Tribolium castaneum: one gene and its partners. The protein of the gene in region 2 purifies or fractionates together with the protein of the main gene of each other region. This does not show direct contact. Links are inferred from orthologs where the notes say so. Each region holds a gene or a part of one and is shown on either strand. Other genes may lie near its edges.

Region 1 (4,889 bases), on a different chromosome or scaffold from region 2:
AAATCCAATGAAAACATCCAAGTGCCTGGGGAAAATCATGCAAAAGAGAAAACTTTGTGCCCTTCCGATTTATTCAACAGTGATGGTTGTGTTAACCTAACGGACGAAGGGGAAATACCCATTTTACACATATCGGACCCGGAAAACCCCCAAAACGAGCAACAATGTACTTCAACGCCTGTCAGGCCAACGCCTCTAGAAATGCAATTTTTGGAAGACTTGCATCTTTCGATAAGTGGGGATAAAGTGTCGGAAACAAATAACGGTGAACAGAAAACTCCCAATACGTCTTCCGCGAAGAAACGGCGCAGGGTCGTTGTTACCATGATTGATTAATCCATTTTATTGTAATAAAAACTTTTATTTTGGATTGTTCGCAGTTTTTTTAGGTTTGTAAAGTGGTATCCGCTTTTTCGACTTCAATTCTTTCTCTACAGCGTTTTTCACAGTTTGTAGAGCCGATTCGTTGGTTTCCAAATTTGGGGAAAATTCGCCGGAAATAAGCGGATATTTTCCGCTAAAACCCTTCGGGAAAATGGGTTTGGTGAGAAGGGCAGTTAACTGTTTTCTCTTAACGTCTGCGAGCTTTTTCTGTGACGAAATTTCGTCAGAATCGAATTTTTTTGAACTGATTTTTGTGTTAAGGAAGTGATGTATGCAGTTGCGATTTCAGAATTGTTATTTAAAGGATACAAATCATCGACGATAATATCCATTTCTTTAGCCGCTTTACGCAACCACCCTTCCTCCGAATTTCCCTTCCGTATCTGTAATTCTAATTTGTCCAGTTCTCGTGCTAAATTCACTCGCTGTTTGACGGCTTTTAAATACTCTTCCTGTACCGGAAAAATCGGCAAATCTTCACCTGTAACAATTCACAAAATTGCAATAAATTATTTCACAGCCCAACAAAATAAATCAGTTATTATCTCATTAATTAGATGATTTAATTTTATTAATCGTATTTCTTAAGAAATCTAATAGAGGTTTATTTGTTTAATTTTTTGAATAATACAAATATTGTACAGGATTGCATTTCTGTAAAAAATATGGATACAAAAAACTAGTCACAGTTGTTGGAATTTCTTTAAATTTGATGTATTTTTTTATTTTTCTCTTCAAATTGTTTTATCACATTACTACAATCTTTTCATTGGCTGCTTCTTTTGATTGTTGTTCTGATAGTTTTTAGATTTTTTTACCTTAAATGTGTGATTCAGTTTTCATATCATCATTAATTTTTCCGTATTCAATTTTTAGTTTTATCATAAATCATCATTTGTTACAACATTTTTTTTTCATGAGATTTAAACGTTAACCTTTTTCATAAAGATAGTTCATAAAAAATGATTTTTATTTTATAGAATTAGCAGTTTTACCGCCGAAACCAAAACGTCACTTACTTCTATTCAAAGTTTTGCAGATTTTTATGTAGTTCTGTATTTCCGAAGGCTCCATTAAAACTACAGTGAGACCTTGCTGAGTCGCACGAGCTGTGCGCCCAGACCTATGAACATAACTCTCACTTGTTCTGGGTGTCTGATAATGCAAAACATGCTCGATTTTCGGAATATCCAAGCCTCTAGCTGCCACATCAGTGGCCACCAAAATTCCGTGTTCATCGTCCCTAAAACTATTAAAAAATTACAGTATTAATATTAAACATTTTTTAATTTTTGTTAACATGGGCAAAAAAATTAAAAATAAACATTTTTCACAATATTTTACCGTTCCAAATTTTTCAAACGCTGTCTCTGCTGCATGGACGCGTGAAGGGGCAAAGGCCGACACCCCAAAATGCCCAACAAATTCGCCAAACGTCGCACACATCCGATCGAATTACAAAAAATCAAAGTCCTGCCTGGATGCTTCTGCAGGAAATAATACACGTAATAGTCCTTCTCCTCAATCCCGCAACTGATTCGGCTTTCGGTTAAAGTCGCCGGTGTGTTTCCACCTTGACTTATGTCCACAATTTTCGGGTTTTTTATGCCCAAATCGGTCATAATCCTGCTAAGTTTTTGTTGCGGTGTCATTTTCGAAACCTTTGATTTATTGAAGCGGTATTTCGGCAAATCGTGTACTAGAGTGAGCGTTGCAGAAAAAACGAAATTTTGTCTTTGTTTCGCTCTTGTTTTATCAAGGTTGAGACGTTCTAATATGTTGTGCAGCTCCTCAAAGTGGCCCTTTTCAAGCATTCGGTCCGTTTCGTCAATTGCTAAATATCTGTAAAAATATTTAATAAATGAGTATGAAATTTTGTTGAAAAAACTCGACTTTTATTCACCTAATATCGTTTATTTGCGACAAATGTTCATTGCCTTGTTGGATTAATTCCCACAAACGGCCTGGAGTTGCGACCACAATTTCTGGTCTCTTACTCAAAATTCGCTCCTGTTTTACGGCAGCCATGCCCCCAAGAACCACCGCAATATTTATATCTATTGAAAAAAAATTAATAAGTCGTTATTAGTATTGATTCAAAAATACCTGTAAATTTTACAATGGCTTTTAAGTGGTCTCGCACTTGCACCGCCAGTTCCCTTGTCGGTGTCAAGACAAGTGCATACAATTTTTTATCCGAGTTTCCCACAACTTTACTTTTTTCGTTCAAAATTCCGGCCACAATTGGCAAACCAAACGCAAGCGTTTTCCCACTTCCCGTCTCCGCAGCCCCCACAATGTCCCTGCGCCCCAAAACGGCCGCAGGTAACGAAAGCGACTGAATCAGCGTTGGTTCGTTAAAACCTTGCAAAACGAGCGCCTTGATAATTGAGTCAGGCAACCCGAAGTTACTCCACACTAGATAACTGTCCGATTTTTGGATTTTTTCGTTAATTTCAACGCGCGTCTCAACACTACTGCCCTGTTTCGAGGGCGTTAGAGCCACGGAAGACACTTTCCGTTTTTTCTTGGCCGGTTTTTCAACCACGACAGGGCTTTTATGCTTCTTGGAAATCTTGGAGCGGTTTATCTTTCTTGGTTTTTCCAAATTTACCAAACCGTAATCTGTACATTCCTCGAACGCGACTAAACCCTCGGAATTGAGATTCGGGTCTTCCACAGGGACTGGTTTCCAATTTATTTTGTTTTTAACCATTTTACATAAAAAATTCTAACCACACTTTTATGACATGTGATAACATAAACGTAACCTCAATAACCATTTAAGTTGGCAGGCTTGTTTAAATAAAACCACATTTGCTTATTATAAAATTTATTTATTAAACAAATTAATTACAATTATATTTGTGGTGGTGCTAATGACTGATACAACTTGGACACGGCCGTTTCCACAATTTGCCTAAAAGTCTCATCTTCGGGACACGTCACTTCCTGAAAAAAAATTGCAAAATTTGATTAACACAAAATTGCCTTACCAGAGTGGATAAATCAATATCGGCCTTTTTGTCGTTCACTGTAACGTACAATTTCTCCCCTTTGAACATTTTCGGGACTGAATCTTCCCCAAACATGTCTTGCAACATTTCAATTAAACATTCCTAAAACCTCGTTATGTGAATCAATAAAACGACAAAAAAATAATTACTTTAAAGTGCATCCGGTCCACTTTCACACTAGTTGATAAGTTTTTAATCGGAGTGTCCAACAAATCGGCCTGAAGTATCGCTGCCACTATAGCATCGGCATACATATCGTTAACAGGGTTGGCAACCCATTCTAGCGTCACAATTTTATTTTCTATTGTAATATCAATAGCATTAAAGGCCCTTGTCTTTTTGTCCCCTTCTACGGGTTCGAGCAAACCCGCCACTTGGGTCAACAAGTGCCGCAAAACGCCCACATTCCCCGAATAGTGAATGCTCTGTCTTTGCATAATTTGGCTCATACTCATGTCAGTGTACTCTAAAAAATGAAATAAAAACAATATTAAGTATATGTTTATTTAACGAGTCGCAGTGTAAATCGGACGCTTTATGCCACGAGTGATAAAAGTAGAAAAAAGTGAAAACTGCAACATGTTTTTTGCGTTTTTCTCGCAACCTTTGAGACTTAAAGCAAAAATGAACAACGCATCAAAATTTATCGTACAAACCCGGAGCCGCTATAGGTAACAGTTCCGGCTGCAAAGACATTTTAAGTTTATTACTAAAAAAATTCATAACTCCAAAATTAAAAGTCCTAAAGTAAAATGGTTTATTTCAGCGTATTCTACAGTTAATTTCATGTATTACGTTATTTTTTGACAGCACTAGCTTGCTTGGGAACCTATTTATAAGCATATTTCAAATTGAAAGATGGTGGATGCGCCGGGTCATCTACTAAACATTTACAACTAATTAAAAGTCCTAGAGTAAAACTGTTTATTTCAGCGTATTCTACAGTTAATTTTGTGTATTACATTATTTTTTTACAACACTAGCTTACTCCAGAACTCATTTATAAGCACATAGTAAATTAAAAAAATGGTGGATGCGCCGGGCTACTCACTAAACATCTATAAATCAAAAACTAAAAGTGCTAGAGCAAAACAGTTTGTTCCAGTGAATATCACTGCTCATTTTACGCAATATAAGTGTAATAATATGGTTTGTAATAATTTTTTTTACAAAAATAAAAAAGAACAAAATTTTTTTCCTTACTTGGCAAGTCGTTAGCCGCCAGCAAATGATAATTAAAATTCCTCTTGACCAAAACCCCCGAAAGCACATTTCCAGGCTTAGGTTTCTCCACCGCTAAACTCCCCATAACTTTGGCCGTCTTCTCTCCCCTGAAATACAGCTCAACAGCGTGCGTATTTCTGGGAGTGTGCAAGTGTATTGTGGTGTTGGGATCATCCTCGTACTCCCTCTGCAGGGCGGCTTTAAGCCGATTCATTTCATTCTGCTCCCCGTGCACCAAAACAACGTGTGGCGGTTTGAGAATTC
Region 2 (3,899 bases):
CTGGAAGCCACCTTCGTTCAAAGCACGCGCCCCATAGGCAATACGTGTACCTCCCTCGAAGTAGTGTTTGACGCTAGGGTGGTGCTTGAACCTTTGGAACTCTCTAAAAGGGCTCAAATAAGGGTTGGAATAGTCCAAGGCGACAACAAATCCAACCGCCACCAAAGGAGTATCTTCATTGAGGTGGTAGAGGAAGCTTCCACCGTAGGTGAATTTATCCAAAGGCCAACCAATCGAGTGCTCAACGCGGCCAGGACTGTGTTTCGAAGGATCAATCTCCCAAATCTCCTTCAAACCAATACCGTAGGTTTGTGGCTCGGAGTTTGCCCTCAAGTTGAATTTGTTTATGATTTGTTTGGATAAATGTCCATGGCAGCCCTCCGCAAAAATGGTACATTTGGCATGTAATTCCATGCCTCGTTCGAAATTGTCTTTAGGGCTCCCATCTTTGGCGATACCCACATCGTTGGTCGCCACCCCTTTAACGCTACCATCGGGATGGTAGAGGATTTCCGAAGCTGCGTACCCTGGGTAGATTTCAACACCCATGGCCTCGGCTTGCTCCCCAAGCCATTGCACCACGTGCCCCAGCCGCACGATGTAGTTCCCGTGGTTGTACATGGGGGTACCTGGCAGTACCGGAACAGGGATTCGACCCGTGGCTGTTAAAATCCCGAATTTGTCTTCCTTTACTGGGGTTTTTAACGGTGCCCCCTTATCCGCCCAATCAGGGATTAATTCATCGAGTGCTGTTGGTTGTATAACAGCTCCTGATAAAATGTGACCTCCTACTTGAGATGCTTTCTCCACAACACAAACCCTGAGCTCTTTCCCGTCTTTTTCAGCCAATTGTTTGGCTCTTATCGCGGCAGACATCCCCGCAGGACCTCCCCCGATTATTAAAATATCCGTCTCGTCCCCGAACCGTTCCATATTCACCTCTGAATGAAAGCTGGTCAATTAGTGAGTACTTTGAAATAATTACCTTTCCATCGTGGGTCGTTTTCTCGCGGCACAACGGTATAGTGGGTCGTGATTTTGGGAAACTGGTCCGAATAACATCGTGCCAAAGGTTTCAAAGATTTAGCTGGAAAAAAAAAACAATATGCACTTTGCAACATAAACACGGTACAAAGGTCACTCTGGACAATATTTCATAATTTATCCGTGAAAAACCACCAGAATGACTTACAACCATTAAATTAACGTAACTTCCAGCAAATTCTAACATAATTATCCCAAGATTATTGTAACAATAATTAGTTTTTTCAAAAAAAAAAATTATGAAATAAGTGTAGTGACCATTGTCGTGGTTTTAGTTTATTAATGTATCAGTTGGTTGCCAAGTAACTTTATAATAAAGAACTTACCGTATTTTATACTTGTAAACAAATTTAATGCCATGTCGACCAGCTAGTTGCCCTACTACACCTTTGACGTAACATTTGTGATTGACAAACAGCTGTTTTTAAGTGTGTCTGATACTGATTCCGCCAGAGGGCCCGTCATTATTTTATCGGCTTATATAATTATCTCATGATTTATTACATTTTTTATTATTATACAACAATGTGAGAGATTAGATCCTTTTATTATATCATTTATAGCGTTACTTCATGGAGTTTTGGGTTATTTCCAGTCACAGAATCCTGTATTATCGGCCACCTGTCAAAAGATTAATGCACGTGTTTTTTCCATTTCGTCATATTTTGGTGTTTTTGTGAGTGAAAATGCCGGATTCTAGCGACGATGAGTCCCAGGCGCCCTCAGGTCCCGTCGAGAACGCTTGGGCGATGAAAATCCCGGAGTTTAAGCCCGAGGATAACCCCCATGGTCTCCTGGAGGAGAGTTCATTCGCGACGCTTTTTCCCCAATACCGGGAGCAGTATTTGCGCCAAGTGTGGCCCCTCGTGCAAAAGACTTTAAAAGAGCACCACATCAATGCAGAATTGGACGTGGTTGAGGGAAGCATGACTGTGAGAACGACGCGTAAAACTTGGGACCCTTATATCATAATCAAAGCTCGAGACATGATCAAATTAATGTCCCGGAGTGTTCCTTTTGAGCAAGCCAAGCGGGTGTTGAATGACGACGTCGGTTGTGATATCATTAAAATAGGGAAAATTACAAGGAATAAAGAGAAGTTTGTTAAGAGAAGACAGAGGCTAATTGGGCCGAACGGTTGTACGTTGAAATCAATTGAATTGCTGACTAATTGTTATGTGTTGGTGCAAGGACAGACAGTGTCGGCTTTGGGGCCTTATAAGGGGTTACAGCAAGTCAGGAAGATTGTGGAAGATACCATGAAAAACATGCATCCTATTTATAACATCAAAGCTCTGATGATCAAGAAAGAATTAGCGAAGGATCCCAAGCTCAAGAACGAGAACTGGGACCGATTTTTACCCAGATTTGTTAATAAAAATATCAGTAAGCGGAAACAACCGAAAAAGAAGAAGGAGAAGAAACCGTACACGCCCTTCCCGCCCCCACAAACTGAAAGCAAGGTAAAAAATTCAAAAATTTTGTAGGAAACAAATAACACTTTGTTAAATTTTAGATCGATAAGGAGCTAGCTTCTGGCGAATACTTCCTCAACAAGGAGCAAAAACGGCAAAAGAAACAGAAAGAGAAGAATGAAAAACACGCTGCGGCTGCGAAGAAACGTGAGGAGAAAAGAAACGAAGCGTTTGTCCCACCTGAGGAGCCCTCAACCTCGAAGCAATCACCGAATGTTAACACGAAAGTTGATATAGCGTCACTTAAAGAAAAAATCATGAAGGCGCGCAAAGGTGCAAAAATGTTTAATAAACCTGTAAAATAACAACTTGTTTGATTTGACACCGAAGTTTGACAATGTCTGATCTAGACGAAGACGAATCCCAGGAAAGAATCGCCGTTAAGGGTGGTTTTCCAGTGCGCATAGTTGAGTACAAGAGCATCAAACTGATTGCAATTTTTTTGACAGTGTTTCTTGTAATTGACGTAATTTTCTCGTTAAAACTTTTAATTTCCGCAATACAGATCAGATCCCACCTCGGGTATTTTATTAACATGATTTCAAGCGGCGATGGTGATACTTTACCAGCGTTGCAAGCCGTGCCGGTATTTTTTTTTCTCATCATTAATTTAATGATGTGTTATTTCGTTTATGCGGTGTTCGATCCCAGCGAACAACCCGGCGCCAATCGAATGATGTTCTTTTTAATTATCTTGGCCCTTGTTATGGTGGTTGTTCTTCTGATAATAATTGTTAGTGTTATCGCACACGCGTATAGCACGCATCAGAAACTCCACGATGGGATTGTCACTGCAATGAATCATTATTTGAACAGTACGACCTATAAATCACAGATTGATCGCTTACAAATTGAAATGCAGTGCTGCGGAAGCAAGAAATATGACGAATGGTATACCATCAAGTGGCAGGATCAAACACTGGAGAAGGAAACTGGGTATGTTTAAGTAGAAAGCAGCTGTTTTGAAGAGATTATTTAGAAAACGAAAGTTCACACATTATTTTTTCTATTTTGTAACTTTAACAATGCTATTAACGCACTTGTTTAGGTTTAAAAAACTCGAAATTGAACAAAAAAAGTTATAACTAAACCAAAGATGTTGGTCCTCAATTAAGTAGTAACGATATTTTTGTATCCTTTAGCGGAAGACAACCATTTGATTAGGTAGAATTCAAAATGGAAACGTTTTATTTTACTAATTAACAACATAACATTTTCACTGATACCTTGTACCCCTTCTTTGTTTCTCCATTAACAAAAAAATTGTTCAAAAATTCTTTTTACTTTTGGAAACAGATTTAGAGTCGCTTCTTTCGCGGCTTCCCAAATTCCCTCATTTTATTCAAAAACACTTTCAGCGTTCATCTGATAAAATTCTGT
Region 3 (4,834 bases), on a different chromosome or scaffold from region 2:
TCACTGTGATTGAGAACAGGGAGGCTGCAAGCCCCGAACCGTAGGAAAATAACCCGATTTTGCAACCGGCCAATTCCGAGACAGTTTTATTTAATAAAAGGGAGACAAGCCCCCCGTATAGTGACGGTGTGTACATGTTACCAACTTGACTTGCGATGAGCAACGAAGGCTTGGTTTTTGCCTCGAAAGTGTCTTTCGTGAAGTTGAGGAAAGCCTTCTCGACGTCACGATCGAAATAACTCTCGGATAATTTAACCGAATTGAAATTTTCCAAACCTGGGAATTTAACTGTGCGCTGATTGGGCGCACTTGTGAGAAAATCGTTCAAAGCAAGCCTAGCTAGAGACTTTTGGACCAGTTTACAATACGGCGAGTGGAACAAAACGGCATCAAAACACCCCAAATCAAATGCAGAATTGTTCTTTTTCGAATAATTCTTGCCATAGAGTTGGTAACAATTATCCAAAGCACTCAAGTAGCACTGAATCGATAATTTACCATCGACAGTGGGATATTCGGAGGTCAAGTCTGGCTTGTAAAAATCATACGCGTGCTTGACGTACGTCGCACGCACCCCTCTGTCGAAGACAAGGGGGGCGTTGGGCCCCACTAGCATGGCCACGGCCCCGGCGCCCCCCGTGGGCCTGGCAGAGCCTTTGGCATAGACGGCGATATCGCCGCAGACGACCAGGGCGTAGCGCCCGTTCCAGGCCGAGGACTCGACCCACGAAATGGCGTTGAAGAGGGCTGCCGTGCCCCCGTAGCAGGCATTGGTCGTGTCGATGCCTTCAATGTCGGTGACTCCATGGGGCTCGAACAGTTGCATCAGCACTGTTTTGACGCTCTTGGACTTGTCGATGATGGTCTCGGTGCCCACCTCCAGGCGCCCTATGGCCGAGTAATCAACGGAGTACTTCTCCAAAAGGCGCTTCACCACCGTGAGGCAGAGAGAGTTGATGTCTTCGCGGTCTGTGCAAAAGCCCATCTTCTGCTGGCCCAGTCCGATGGTGTATTTGCCGGCGGAGGCCCCGTCGAAGGTTTCGAGTTCCGTTTGGTCGACGTACTGCGAGGGGAAGTAGAGTTCTAGGGCATGGATGCCCACGTCTTGTGGCCACGAACCCATCACGATTTGACACACTTGCACTTGGTTACGCCACCGAAGAGAGTCTGAGTGCGGACTGAGGTGGATTCGGCACCTCACACCATTCCAATTATAACTTACACCCTACTCTTTGAGTTAACCTCAATTTCGGATTTTTGAACGGTGACAGATGCGCAACGAAACCTAAGCGCTAACAACCCAACGACCACAAACCCCAAATTCATTACAAAGCCACGAAATAATCAATTTAGTCACACCGGACTGTTCCACAACAAATACTATTGCTAATTTTAAGTCACAAGAGCACATATAATTAAATTAGAATTAATTTGAACAAGTATAAGATAATGCAGGCATTAGACCAGAAGCGCATTGGTACAAAAGTGCCAAACTCGTGTGACATATAACCACACTTTAGGTGGCACTCAAATTGGCCCAAAAAAAATGTCCAAAATATTCGATAACGACTCGGATTCCGACCCTGAATTAAAAACAGACAACGAGTACGCCAAAAACTACGACAAGTGGCGAAAAAAAGAGGAATTAAACAGGCGTAAGCACCCAGACTTGTCCAACCCCAAATGTCACGTTTCTTTCAGTAAAAACGAAATATGGTGAGGAGTTACTGGACGAGGAGTCGTCCAGTTCGTCCTCAGATGATGAAGAAGGCGTCGAACTGACGGACGAAGTCGAGAAACAATTTTTCAAAACCTTGTCATGCCTCAAAAATAAAGATCCGAGGATCTATGACGAAAACGTGCGTTTCTTTGACGAAACTCCCATAAATCAGCCGAAAACAAGCAAGAAGAGTAAAAAAGACAAGCCCCTGTTTGTTAACGACTATGAGCGAGAGCTGATTTTGAAGAAAAACGGTGAATTAAGTGACGATGAATCAGGGGAAGGACCGCCACGTTCGCCAACTTATATCGAAGAACAGAATAAGCTCAAGGAGAGTTTTAAGAAGGCTTTGAATCGTATTAGTGAGAGTGATGATGAAGATTGGGGCGGGGTGCTTAAAGTTAGACAGAAAACCGAAGAAGAGAAGAAGAAGGAGGAAGCTGATTATTTTGAGTGGTTGGCTGGGCAAAAGGAAGAAATTGATGATAAAGAAGTTGCAAATGAGTTGGAGCCGTTGAAGAATTACTGGAATAAGCCTGATTTGGATGAAGGCGAGAAGTTTTTGAGGGACTACATTTTGCAAAAAAAGTAAACTTCATTATTGAGCGAAGTAATCCTGAATTGTGTTTTGTAGATTTTTGAGTAAAGAAGATGAGGATTATATTCCAACGTATGAGGAAATTGTCCACGATTCTGATAAAGACTTGTCTGAAGATGAAGAAGCAATTGAAAAACAGGAGGAATTTGAACATAAATATAACTTTAGGTTTGAAGAACCCGACCAGGAATTTGTAAGTTAATGGTTTTGTATTATTTTTTGATCAGTTTTGGTTGTTTTAGATTAAGCGGTACCCAAGAACCATGGAACATTCCTTGAGGAAAACAGACGATAAAAGAAAAGTCAAACGACAAGAGACTAAAGAACGGAAGAAGAAGGAAAAAGAACAAAAAATGCAAGAAATGAAGAAACTTCAAGAGCTGAAACGGAGGGAGATTGAGGAAAAGATACAAAAACTGAAAGAGATTACCGGAAACAATGACATGGAATTTAAAGATGAAGACTTGGAAGGCGATTTTGATCCTGAAGCGCATGACAAGCGGATGCAAAATTTGTTTAATGATGAGTTTTATCAAGGACCGGAAGGTGAACAAAAACCGGAATTTCCCGAACTTGACGAATTATTAGAAATTGGTAAGTAAATGCCGATCATTTTTTGGTTGTTTTATTAATAATTCTGTGAAGAAAATTGGGAGAAATGGAAAGGTGATGATGAACCACCTGGAGAAGAAACCGAATATGAGCCACATTGTGAAGATGAAGATTTTAATGTGAGTCTGAAATTTAGGAATTTTATTTTCTAACAATTTTGTACAGATGGATTGCGATTATGATCCGAAAGCCGCAACCAAGCAAGAATTAATCGAAAACAGCAAAGGTAGGAAAAAACGGAAACGCAAATCACTCTTTGCCAAAGCTGTAAGTCAGCCAAAACCCGTATTTGACCCGAACGATAAAACTTATGAGCAATATCTGGACGAATATTATAAATTTGATTGTGAGGATATTATTGGCGACGTTCCTTGTCGATTCAAATACAGAAAAGTGGTTCCTAATAGCTTTGGTTTGTCGATTGAGGAGATTTTAACAGCGAGTGATCGCGAATTAAATAAATGGTGTTCGCTCAAAAAAGCCATTCAGATTCGGCCAGATCACGTCGAAAAGTACGACCAAATCGCGTTTGAGAAAAAAGGAAAAAACTTGGAATTGAAGAAAAAGATTTTGCCCAGTTTATTTGCCAATGAAAATGACAAAGAAGAAAACAATGAAGTTGAAAATAAGAAGAAAAAGAAGGTGAAGAAAGTCAGGTGTGCGAAAACAAATGATGCGGCAAAAATAAACGGTGATGCCAGCACGAATATTAAAAAGAAAAAGAAGAAGAAAAAGAAGATTGTGCAAAACAATAATGAAACAGACAGTAACAACAAACAAAAACTATCAAATAGTGAAACTGTTGTTTCGAATAAAAGTGCGACAAAGGATAAGTCAGATGGCAACAAAAAACGAAAATTATCAAGTGGTGAAGCTGTCCCGAATAAGAGGGTGAAAAAGAGTAAGAAACAAGAGGTAGAAATTACCGATGCCCGATTGTCCGCCTACGGGATTAATCCTAAGAAGTTTAAAAATAAATTAAGATATAAGAAAAATTGAACAAATAAATTGTTGAGGAAAAAAAAACATTTTAATACTTTATCCACATAATATATTTACGACACAAATGAAAAATACAACGTCAAAAATCTACGGTGAGTTGGAAATATCCATATTATCCGACTTTTCCGACCCCTTTTCATTCCCCTCAACCTCCCTCTCTTTCTCCTTGTCTCGTTCGGAATCGAACCCCTTCTCCTCTTCATCGTAATTCCTGGGCACCTTCTCCTTAGACCTCGACCTCTCCTTCTTCTTCTTCTCCTTCCTCCTATCCCTACTCTTTGACCTACTCCTCTTCTTGGCCTTTGGGGACGGCGACGGTGTCCTCCTCCTCCCTTTAGACCTCGACCTCCTCCTCTCCTTCTCCTTCCTCCTCTCCCGCGACCTCGACCTCCTATGACTACGACTGCGCGATCTCGACACCTTCTTTTCCCCACCCTCTATACTACTCTCCTTCTTATCTTTCTCTTTCTTATCCCTTTCCTTCGACTTCCTATCCCTCTCCTTTGACTTGCGATCCTTATCCCGTTTCCTATCTTTCGACCTATCCCGAGTCTTAGATTTGGCCCTTGGCCTACTGCGACCCTTCGATTTCGACCTTGACCGGCGTTCGCGCGACCTTGAACGCCTCGTACGTGAAACCGAACGTTTCCGAGAGCGAGACTTCGAGCGTTTACGCCGGTCACGTGATCGTGAACGGCGTGAACGTGACGTTGAACGGCGACGACGTGAACGTGAACCACGCGAGAGTGACCTTGAGCGTGAGCGGCGTCTACGCCCTCTAGATCTTGAGCGGGAACGTCGCGAGCTCCTTTTATCTTTAGTTAGCATTCCGATAACTGGCTCAATCGAGGCATTGATCATGTTTTGAGCCTCTTTAAAGCGAGACATTGCTTCTTCAATTT
Region 4 (4,920 bases), on a different chromosome or scaffold from region 2:
CTTAACATTTCTGTATTTTTAATTTTTTCTTCTTTGTAACATTTTTTTTAGTTTTTGGGAAAAAACATAATTATCCGTTTACAACAGATATTCATTTTGCTAATACTTTTAGGTATTTATCAAGAAATGCCGTATTTCTATTTTTGATGTTGTCTATTTTTTTCTTATTTTTAAATTCATTCTTGTCTCTAAACATTTCTTTTATTCAAAACGTATTTTTCCTGTTTTTTTTTTCCAAAACCCTCTACATTACGTACAAGTATTTTTTTATACTTGGCACTTGGCCTCTACTATAAAACTCACCCTATATGGACAACACCTGCTGGTGGTACTCTCATTCTCATTATCTCAACAGGAAAAATTATCTAGTAAGAGATTGAAAAGTAAGTAGGTATAAATTTTTTACAATAAATTCTTTATGAATAATTTTTAATCAAATAGAAAAACTTTCATAATGAAAAATTTGTGTAATTGAATAGACAATTTTTACATTTTTATAAAATGAGTGTATTTACCTCATTTTTAAAAAGAAATCGGAAAAAAATTGACAAAAAGATAAATAATAATCTATAAGTAGGTATTCAGGTTGTATGATGATTGAACGTGCTTATAATTATTGTAACATTATCCACTTGCCTATCGTCTGCTAAAACTTCATGCAGACGTTAGTTTGAGTGACTTAGATAAAAGACTTAAGCCTAATTTATCTTGATGACTTAAATGCTTGTTATCTACTTGTTAATAAAACAATGACATCAGTAAATCGTTTTACAATGTGAGTACAATTAAGTACACACATAAATGATATGAATAGGGTACAAAGTTTTAATTTAAGTCACTTGACTTTTTTTATTGATAGCTGGTGTATCTAAATACAAAAAGTAGTTATAAACATTTGGATAGGACAAGTTGTAGTTATTCTAACGTTTGTTTTCTTTGTTTGTTTGTTGTTATTTTGTATTTCGTATTATTTTAAACTTTTAACTAGAAAAAACTTATACATTTACGGATCAATATTGTGGATCAATGATTCTTTTAGACCAGAATTAAATTAAAATTGCAAGGACTAACAATTAAAAAAATTAATGTGTTTTTCAAAATATCTTTGCAAATGTACATACTATAACTTTTTATTTTGAATTTGCCTCATTAATTGTGGCCAAAAGCCAAAAGATAAAAACATCTCCAAAAGTACATAGTTAAATAATAAATAAGCACGAAAAAACATCGGCAAAGATACTATGAGTTAGTTATGATAAATGTTTTTTTTAAATGACTGTTGTAATTTAATCTGATGAATAATTTTACTTATGGTTTCATAAAATTTAAACCTATTGTAAGATTGCTCAAGTTGGTGGCTTATATGTTGCTAAGGCGATAACATCAGTACTTATACGTGCTGATGTTTAAATTTCACAATCCATAAGGCAAACAATATAAGTATGTCAGTGATTTAAGTAACTTAATGTAATAAACAACTTACTTTTATCATTTTATCGGTGACTTTATAGTTCGTTTCTAAGAAAGATGAAATCAAGGTGAGTATTCAGTTTCACATAATGGATTATTTGAAACGATTTGAAGTACTATTCAAATTCATGGTAAAACTTAATTAAATTAGTTAATAAAGTATAAAAGTTTTTTTTTCATAATCTAAACTAAATACATAGAGTTATTCACTTAAGACTTCACGCCTGATTAGGTAAAAAGTGCAGCACACAATGCACTAGGAGTAGCATGGGTGTAATTGATACAACTAAACATAATTATTTTTTGAATAAGAGCTATCTCCTATGAATAAGAGTAAGCGGCGTATAATTTAAAAAGTAAATGATTTTTTTTGCATTCTAAAAACATTTTTTTTAATTAGGCAACCAAATTTACCTCCAACAAATATTTTTTTTCTATGGTTGGCGGCAGTTTCTTTTTCAATTTCATTTCCAAACGCTAAGTTAGGTTATAATTTTCATTTTTACTTCTGCAAAGTATTGAAAATGGAAAATGAAACGAAAGAAAATGCAAATGCACACGACGATTCAATACTTAAAAAAGGTCGCCATCGAAAAAAGCAACTCTACAATTCCATTTTGCAGCAAATGGAATTTTATTTTAGCGACTCTAACCTCACCAAAGATAGATTTCTATCTCAATTAATAAAGGAGAATCCTTGTAAGTGACTATATGATTATTTTATGAGTAGTTGTAGGTAAATACCAAGCACTTTTTTCAGTTGTCGACCTGAACGTATTTTTGAAATTTAACAAAATTACTAAACTCACAACCAGCATAGATGATATCCAAAAAGCTGTACAAAAGTCGCAGTTAATCGAATTATCAGAAGATCGTAGTAGAATTCGTCGTACAAAACCGGTTAAAGAAAAGGCTAACGTTGATGATTGTACGATTTATGTAGAACGCCTAAAATCCGATGCAACTCATGAATGGTTGAACTCTGTTTTTTCTGAATTTGGAAATGTGGTCTACGTTTCTATACCAAAATACAAAAACAATAGTGCCATAAAGGGTTTTGCTTTTGTCGAATTCGAGAAAGAAAAGGAAGCGCAAAATGCTTTAAATTACTTTGAAAGCATTGGCTGCAAAATGCCGTCAAATACAGAACCAGAAACTCTTTGTAGTATTAAAACATTTGAAGAAAGTAATGAACAATCTGAGGCTTCCTCTAAAAATTCTACACTGAAGCCAAAATCTGGAGAAGACGAAAAGGCAACAAAAAAGCGAAAACTTGAAGACAATAGTGAGAATAGCGAAAAACTAGATAGTGAACACTGTGAGAGTAAAGCGGAGGAAAAAATAAGAAAACGAAAACTTGAAGAAAGTGAATCCGGCGAAAGTGAAGAAAAAGGGAAAAAAATGAAAGTCGATGATAGTAAGCACACTGAAGAAAATGATGAACACAGTGAAAGTGACGAAAAAGAAAAAAATTCAAAACATGATACTGGAGACGTTTCTGAGTCGGACGATGCCGAAAATAAGAAAAAGAAGAAATTGAAAAAAGAACACAAAAAGAAAAATTACATAAAAGAATTGGGCCTCCAAGTGTTATCAAAGTAAGTGAAGCAGCTAGAATTATCTTTAATCATTGATAAATAATTGTTTTTTAGAAAAGAGTGGAAAAAGATGCGAAATCGGTATCTAGATTTACAAAAGAAGAAAATGAAAGAGTTTAAAAAACACCTTCTAAAAGCCAAGTTTAATCAACCAAATTATGAACAAAAGTCGAAAACTCCCACTGCTAAGACTGAACTCAACAAAGAGGATTTTACCAAGGGACTTATTGTAAAAATAAAGCTAACCGAAGCTACCCTGGATATAAAGAAACTTAAGGTAAATTTTCTAAACTAAATATCTTGGCCAATTTATTTGCGATAAATCGTTTTTCAGAATGAAATTAAAACTTCTTCAGCTGATATATTGTACGTAGATATTCCAAACCCTGGCAGTGAGAACATTTATGTAAGATTTAACACCACGGAGGGCGCTAAAAATTTTTGCTCCCAAGAATCTTTTGGCAAAAAAGAGGTATTAACAGGACAGGAAGAATCTTCATATTGGGAAAAAATTAAAACAGATCGTGAGGATAAACTAAACAAAGCAAAAAAGAAACAACGTGGTAGAGACAAACTGTTAAAGAAAGCAAAACATACAAAATTTGATGATTAAGGTTTTGTTTTCAGTTTAAATTTTTTTTAAATATTCTTTATTTATTAACTTTGTCAAACAGTGGCACCATCCATTTCGTGTTGTTTGCTGACATATTCACACAAAAATTTGAAATAACCTGTAGTTCTTATTTTTCATAGATCTATTTTCGTAATAAAAATTTCATACACTTAATGGAACAATTGCCAACCACAAAAAACATTGGTCACAATTTCAAGTCTACCACCTCTTGCCGCCGCCGCCCCCTCCTCGGCCGCCGCCAAATCCACCCCCACGACCACCTCTAAAACCGCCGCCGCCCCCACGACCCCCACGTCCACCGAAATTGCCGCCTCCTCTTCCTCCAAACCCGCCGCGATTGCCGCCCCCTCTGCCACCACCGCGGCCTCCGCCACCCCCACGACCTCCCCCTCGACCGCCTCGTTTCTGGACTGAGCCTGGGGGCTTCGGTAGGAATCTTTGAAGTGGTAACAACTTCGCAGGATCAATAAACAACTGCAAAACATTATTTTAGATGTGTGAATGGTAAGTGAATTTTTTTATACCTTTTGATTCTTTTTAAAACTGCTAGCTTTTATGTCGTCTCCGAGACGTATCGAAACGTAATAATCTCTGAGATTTCCAAAAATTTCATCAATTTTTCCGATTTGTTCCTTATTTTCGAGGTAAATCGGCGCATTGAAAAATGGAACGTCTTCTATTTCTACTTTAGCAACTAAATCATCTTGTACGGTGTAATCGAAGTAGCCCAAAGGAATCACTCTCTCAGGAGGGCCTTGATCATAGTTTCGCCCGCCGCCCCCGCGACCACCAAAACTATTTCTCCCGCCGCCTCCACCAAAATTTCGAGCGCCGCCGCCCCCACGACCACGACCTCCAAAGCCGCCACCACCGCCGCCTCGGCCACGAAAAGACATTTTGTTTCACTCCTCAAATAATTAGAAACGTAAAAGAGCGTCCCTTTGTAAACACGTGGTTTACACTAAATTTTCAGTGCGGCAACATAACCTCTCCTGCAAACGTAACCTCCAACTGTAAACACTCCTAAACTTTGGGCCCTCTAGGAGTTTTCTGAGTTACCATCAAAACAGAAAACTGTAAAGTTAGAAGATGAAGCTATAACTTCAAACCACATGTGTATAATTAGTTGCATACTTTGAGGGAAAAAAACATTTTATTTTTAAATTAACCTTGAACAAAATATTGCTACGCCCCACACTTCCCATTGGTTTCCTTTCT
Region 5 (4,658 bases), on a different chromosome or scaffold from region 2:
CATATAAAAGTCTAAAAAACTATGCTAGAATGAGTTTTAAAAAATTTAATTTAAAGTTTTACACTAAAAAAAATCATAACTCAAAATGTAAACGTCGTAGAACAACGCGGTTTGTTCCATTGAATTCTACGGATTATTTTACATATTATATCAGTTTCTCACAAGAATTAAAAATTTTAATTTTTTGCTCAAAATTTTATTCAGCAAAAAAATTCATAACTCAAAAATTAAAAATCGTAGAGCAAAACGGTTTGTTCCAGTAAATTCAACGGCTCATTTTCTGTATTATGTCAGCTTTTCACAAGATTTAATTTTGATTTTTTTTTCCAATTTCCAATTTTTGTCGCGATTTTGATCGATTTCCCGTACCCGGAACATTTATCGCCCAATAACTACGGAACTATTAGAGATAACTCAATGAAGTTTACTATTGCTAGAAAGCTCTTTTAATTATCTATCATTTGCAAAAAAGGTTATTATTTACCGATTGATAGTTTTCGAGAAAATTGTTAAATAAAAGCAAAATTCGGTCGTATAAACAAACATTCATAACTTAAAAAGTATTGGGAATTTGGCCATTTTTTTCGTGCCAATCAATTCCCCGAATCATTTTGCATATGCAGACATTAAAATAGTTCCACCTTTTCAATTAGTTTTGTCGTAATTGAGAATTGAGAAAACAAAAAATTAAAAAATTTAGAAAATTGCCAATTTTAAACGTGTCTCAAAATCAAATAAAACCCATCTCATCTGACAGATTTTGAGGTGCCCATTACGATGGAAAAAAGCATTTTCTTCTAGCTCTTTTAGTTCGGCCGTAATTGGCGTTTGAAAATTGAAATTTTTTGCGATATATCGCCTTGAAACCTATGCCATTTTGAAAAGTTTTTTTATTCCGGTTCTCTTCGATTTATCGGATTTTCGCTAATTCTAATCGTTTTGCCATAATCGGCGTTTAAAAATTGAAAAAACGTGAAAATGGAAACCTTTTTTTGCGTTTTTTTTGAAAACTGAAAGACTGAAAGCACAAACAAAAAAATCATCTGATAGCGATTAAAATTATCTATGTTTTCGTCTACACCCGAAGCCGCTCCGGGCAACGGTTCCGGCTACGGGGCGTTCAAAGTTTTACACTAAAAAAAAATTAATAACTTGAAAACTAAAGTCGTGGAGCAACGGTCGTTCTGAGAACATTTTTCGAACATAACTCCGGAAGTATTAGAGATAACTCCATGAAGTTACTATCGTTAGAAAGTCTTTTAATTATCTATCACTTGCAAAAGACTATGGTTCTCCGACTTATGTTTTCGAGAAAATTATTAGCTGTTTCAAAACTATAAAAACATTTTACTAAATTATTTTTTTAAATAAGGTTGATAAAAATGTAAAATAGTTATTAATGATAAGATCTCTCATTAAAACTATAAATTACATTAGTTATTATTTTCTTGAAGTCATGAATAATTTATAACCTCTAATTTTGAGAGAAAAGACGCCGTTGGCGTTTTTATAGTTTTGAAACATGTAATATGTCTCTGTGGTGGTGACTTGACAAGTAACAGTCACCAACTTGGTAACTTGACAATTAAAATCCCCGTCCTGTCCGCCATAACCTCACTTTGTCGAGAAAAATCTGTGATCAAAAAGTGGTGTTTTCGGTCGTTTTTAGGAAAATGTCCAATCAGGAAAAACCGGTAAAAATCTCGAAACAATTACGTTTAAAAGCTCACGAGTTCCTCTCGTCTCGTAAAAATTCCGAACATTTGCTAAGTATTGTACGTCATTTCGAATCGGGTGCGGACCTGTCATCATGTTTACTCACTTTGGAATTGATATTTACGAATTTATTAAAAGACAGGGATATGTACATAGAAGTGGTTCCATTAAAACCCATCGAAAAAACTGAAACGAATCAATACAAGGAATGGTTGAGGAACTTGTATGAAAATTGCTTTAGTAAAATTCTTGAATCATTTGAGAATGACTCGAATAAGATTCAAATTCAGGGTAAGTGATTGCATTGTTGGAATCGTTGGATGTTTATTGGGTGGTTCTTAAGGTTTGTCCACTGCCATGAATATTATTTCCTATGAAGGAAAATTTCCTTTGGAGAATAGAGGGAATTTGGAGTGCTATGTACCACTGAATAGACTAAAGCCTGTTTTGATGAAACTACTCTCAAACAAGCACAATAACGTTCATCTTATAAACAAATACACGGAATATCTTCTTTATAGTGACATTCTTTTCTTTTCTTGGAAACTCTTACCGTCATTGACGGCTAAAACTAACCCAAATGAAACGTACATAATGAATTATTTACGCTTACTTGAAAAACTCGAATTGCGGAAACCCGACGAACAGCAAACTTTATGCGGAAATGAAACTGGTAACTTTACTTAAATATAGCCATCAGAAACTTAAACTGAACTGTTTTCAATTTTTTAGGTGATTTTTTCACATTTGACGAAAACGTTCCTCTCCGTGCGTTAAATAAAGTGTGGCATTGTGTCATGTTGTGGGAGCACAGCCCCCAAACCCACAAACAACTCTTGATTGTTCTTCTCGAACGCGCCCTTCCCCACTTGGAAAAACCCCTTTTCCTAACTGACTTTCTCATGGATTCGCTCGATGTAGGAGGCCCTGTTAGTTTGCTCGCCCTCCAAGGAATATTCACCATGATCCAAGTCCACAATTTAAACTATCCCAACATTTTCGCTAAATTGTACTCAATGTTTGAACCGGAAATCTTCCACACCAAATATAAGGCGCGTCTTTTCTATTTGTCTGACTTGTTTTTGAGTTCCACTCATCTGCCGGAAAATCTTGTTGCGGCTTTTGCCAAGCGCTTGGCCCGTTTAGCTCTCATTGCGCCCTCTGAAGACGTCGTCATCATCTGCATGTTTATAGGGAATTTGATTTTGAGGTTAGTGGTTGTTTAATTACAGCCCCCTATTTATAATTATTTTAATAAACTGTTTACAGACATCCAGGCCTCAAATGTTTATTGAATAATCCAACGGAAGGCACCGCCAGCTCTGATCCATACATAATGGAAGAACGCGATCCAGTCAAGTCAAACGCTATCAACAGTTCTTTGTGGGAACTGAAGAGTCTTCAACAGCATTCAATACCAAGCGTTGCAACGGCCGCTAGATTCATTAATTCACCTTTGCCGACAATCGAATGGGACTTGAGTCGGATTCTGGACGAAACTGGAGATGATATTTTCGATAAAGAGGTGAAAAAACATGGAAAATTGATCGCGTTGGCCTTTGACAAGTCACATGATCAAATTCTACACTATTGGAACATTTAATTACGAGACTGGATCAAGGTAATAGTCACATGTACGGAATTATTCAAAATAATTGATTTTGAATGATTCTGTATAGATATTTTATTGTGATAAGGAACGGGCGTGCCTTGACCATTATTTGCGTCAGGACATATCTACAATGTGTTGCGGATTTCCACCGTTTAAATCACACGCATTGTTGCTGTGTAACATTTGTTACCTAGCTAACAATCGGCATTGGTGTGTGTATTCATCATTTCAGCTTACACCATCATGTATTTTTTATTGACTTTTGATTAAAAAATACAACTCATTAATTTATCCAATTGAAAGGTGATTTTTCAATGCCTAAAGTAATGTTGAAAATAACAAAAAAAAAACATCGCTGTGTTATTTTTTATGTATTAATACTTTAGAATAGTATTTCTTAATGTGTATTGTTATTTCTAATTTTTGATGTTGAATAAAATGTTGCTTTTTTCAATGTGTTATTCTGGTTCTGAAACAATAAGTCCTTTATCTGAAATCAACTTTGGAATCTCCTTATTCACTTTTATGGCAAATACATTATCTAAAATTGGAAAGTATTAAATATACAGGTTGTTCCGTCTAAACCTCACATTAGAAGTATTGAAAGTTCTAATAAAAATATTTATCTGAAAGTTACTACTCAGGCATAATCCGTTAATTTCTGCTCAACGAAAATATTTTCAAGAAGGCTATTAACTTTTTCATTTTAAATGGAAAGCTATGTTTTTCACTGCGTTTTTGCATTTGTTGAGTTATTTTAAGAGAGTGTTTATAAGCTTTTCCTATGCCTAACTTTAACCATTTTTGAGATATTTAGTATTTTTTGAAAATTTTTGGATTTACATGTCTCTTAAAAAATAGGTAACTCGCTTAGTTTTAGAGATTTCGAAATCATGTTTGGAGAATTAAAAGAGAAGGCCTATATCTGTTCTTCAGTGTGTTCAAAATTGAAAATGAAGTTACAAAACTCAAAACTTTTAAGGTTAAGTTTGGACAATTTCAAGTACCCATAAAATTCTTTCAAATGGGATGTCCGAATTTTTATTTTACTAGGTAGAGGAGAATTTTGTTCTGCATCAATCTGTATTAGTATTCTCTATACCTATCTGTGATAATTTACAAGTTATGTTGCTTTTTTTGTCATTGAAGGAAATTTTTTATTAGCCACAACTATTTTTGCATAGTTTGCCATAAAATAAATTCGTTGAATGTTGGTTTAAAAATCTTTAATTTCCCACATTTTTTCTTCTCGTTTCCCTGGCAACCTACGAGAAAACGCCTATGGCTAATGAATTTTTCAAATCCAACAAAAAATATTGTAACTTGAAAA

The links.
Region 1: the proteins of dbe (region 2) and ATP-dependent RNA helicase DDX24 purify together in Homo sapiens (affinity purification with mass spectrometry; 3 studies listed by BioGRID and IntAct, with this or other methods). This does not show direct contact. The link is inferred for Tribolium castaneum from reciprocal best matches to the Homo sapiens genes KRR1 and DDX24.
Region 3: the proteins of dbe (region 2) and protein KRI1 homolog purify together in Homo sapiens (affinity purification with mass spectrometry; 3 studies listed by BioGRID and IntAct, with this or other methods). This does not show direct contact. The link is inferred for Tribolium castaneum from reciprocal best matches to the Homo sapiens genes KRR1 and KRI1.
Region 4: the proteins of dbe (region 2) and Larp7 purify together in Homo sapiens (affinity purification with mass spectrometry; 4 studies listed by BioGRID and IntAct, with this or other methods). This does not show direct contact. The link is inferred for Tribolium castaneum from reciprocal best matches to the Homo sapiens genes KRR1 and LARP7.
Region 5: the proteins of dbe (region 2) and nucleolar complex protein 4 homolog B purify together in Homo sapiens (co-immunoprecipitation; 3 studies listed by BioGRID and IntAct, with this or other methods). This does not show direct contact. The link is inferred for Tribolium castaneum from reciprocal best matches to the Homo sapiens genes KRR1 and NOC4L.

The regions. Positions count from the first base shown.
Region 1 is NC_087396.1:20,626,014-20,630,902, reverse strand, and holds ATP-dependent RNA helicase DDX24, read right to left. Parts: upstream 3,167-4,889; 5' UTR 3,101-3,166; coding exon 2,491-3,100; intron 2,442-2,490; coding exon 2,288-2,441; intron 2,227-2,287; coding exon 1,729-2,226; intron 1,634-1,728; coding exon 1,404-1,633; intron 866-1,403; coding exon 694-865; intron 629-693; coding exon 361-628; 3' UTR 341-360; downstream 1-340. Other genes in the region: myb-like protein X, read left to right, coding at 1-336; Cpsf73 (cleavage and polyadenylation specificity factor 73), read right to left, coding at 3,244-3,336, 3,381-3,503, 3,551-3,867, 4,605-4,889. UniProt on the Homo sapiens protein: ATP-dependent RNA helicase that plays a role in various aspects of RNA metabolism including pre-mRNA splicing and is thereby involved in different biological processes such as cell cycle regulation or innate immunity.
Region 2 is NC_087402.1:7,508,496-7,512,394, reverse strand, and holds dbe (KRR1 small subunit processome component homolog), read left to right. Parts: upstream 1-1,549; 5' UTR 1,550-1,730; coding exon 1,731-2,507; intron 2,508-2,560; coding exon 2,561-2,824; 3' UTR 2,825-2,827; downstream 2,828-3,899. Other genes in the region: Etf-QO (electron transfer flavoprotein-ubiquinone oxidoreductase, mitochondrial), read right to left, coding at 1-941, 986-1,087, 1,371-1,404; rod outer segment membrane protein 1-like, read left to right, coding at 2,857-2,976, 3,025-3,455. UniProt on the Homo sapiens protein: Part of the small subunit (SSU) processome, first precursor of the small eukaryotic ribosomal subunit.
Region 3 is NC_087396.1:21,290,125-21,294,958, reverse strand, and holds protein KRI1 homolog, read left to right. Parts: upstream 1-1,470; 5' UTR 1,471-1,546; coding exon 1,547-1,655; intron 1,656-1,701; coding exon 1,702-2,308; intron 2,309-2,354; coding exon 2,355-2,511; intron 2,512-2,560; coding exon 2,561-2,912; intron 2,913-2,963; coding exon 2,964-3,049; intron 3,050-3,095; coding exon 3,096-3,929; 3' UTR 3,930-4,019; downstream 4,020-4,834. Other genes in the region: Hmgs (hydroxymethylglutaryl-CoA synthase 1), read right to left, coding at 1-1,123; Srp54 (probable splicing factor, arginine/serine-rich 7), read right to left, coding at 4,020-4,834.
Region 4 is NC_087394.1:30,501,804-30,506,723, reverse strand, and holds the start of Larp7 (la-related protein 7), read left to right. Parts: upstream 1-1,913; 5' UTR 1,914-1,994; coding exon 1,995-2,169; intron 2,170-2,230; coding exon 2,231-3,068; intron 3,069-3,122; coding exon 3,123-3,345; intron 3,346-3,402; coding exon 3,403-3,681; 3' UTR 3,682-3,900; coding exon of another isoform or gene 3,901-4,176; 3' UTR 4,177-4,226; coding exon of another isoform or gene 4,227-4,598; 3' UTR 4,599-4,920. Other genes in the region: Gar1 (H/ACA ribonucleoprotein complex subunit 1), read right to left, coding at 3,901-4,176, 4,227-4,598. UniProt on the Homo sapiens protein: RNA-binding protein that specifically binds distinct small nuclear RNA (snRNAs) and regulates their processing and function.
Region 5 is NC_087395.1:51,544-56,201, reverse strand, and holds nucleolar complex protein 4 homolog B, read left to right. Parts: upstream 1-1,559; 5' UTR 1,560-1,673; coding exon 1,674-2,007; intron 2,008-2,059; coding exon 2,060-2,389; intron 2,390-2,448; coding exon 2,449-2,926; intron 2,927-2,985; coding exon 2,986-3,319; 3' UTR 3,320-3,337; exon of another isoform or gene 3,338-3,395; 3' UTR 3,396-3,782; downstream 3,783-4,658.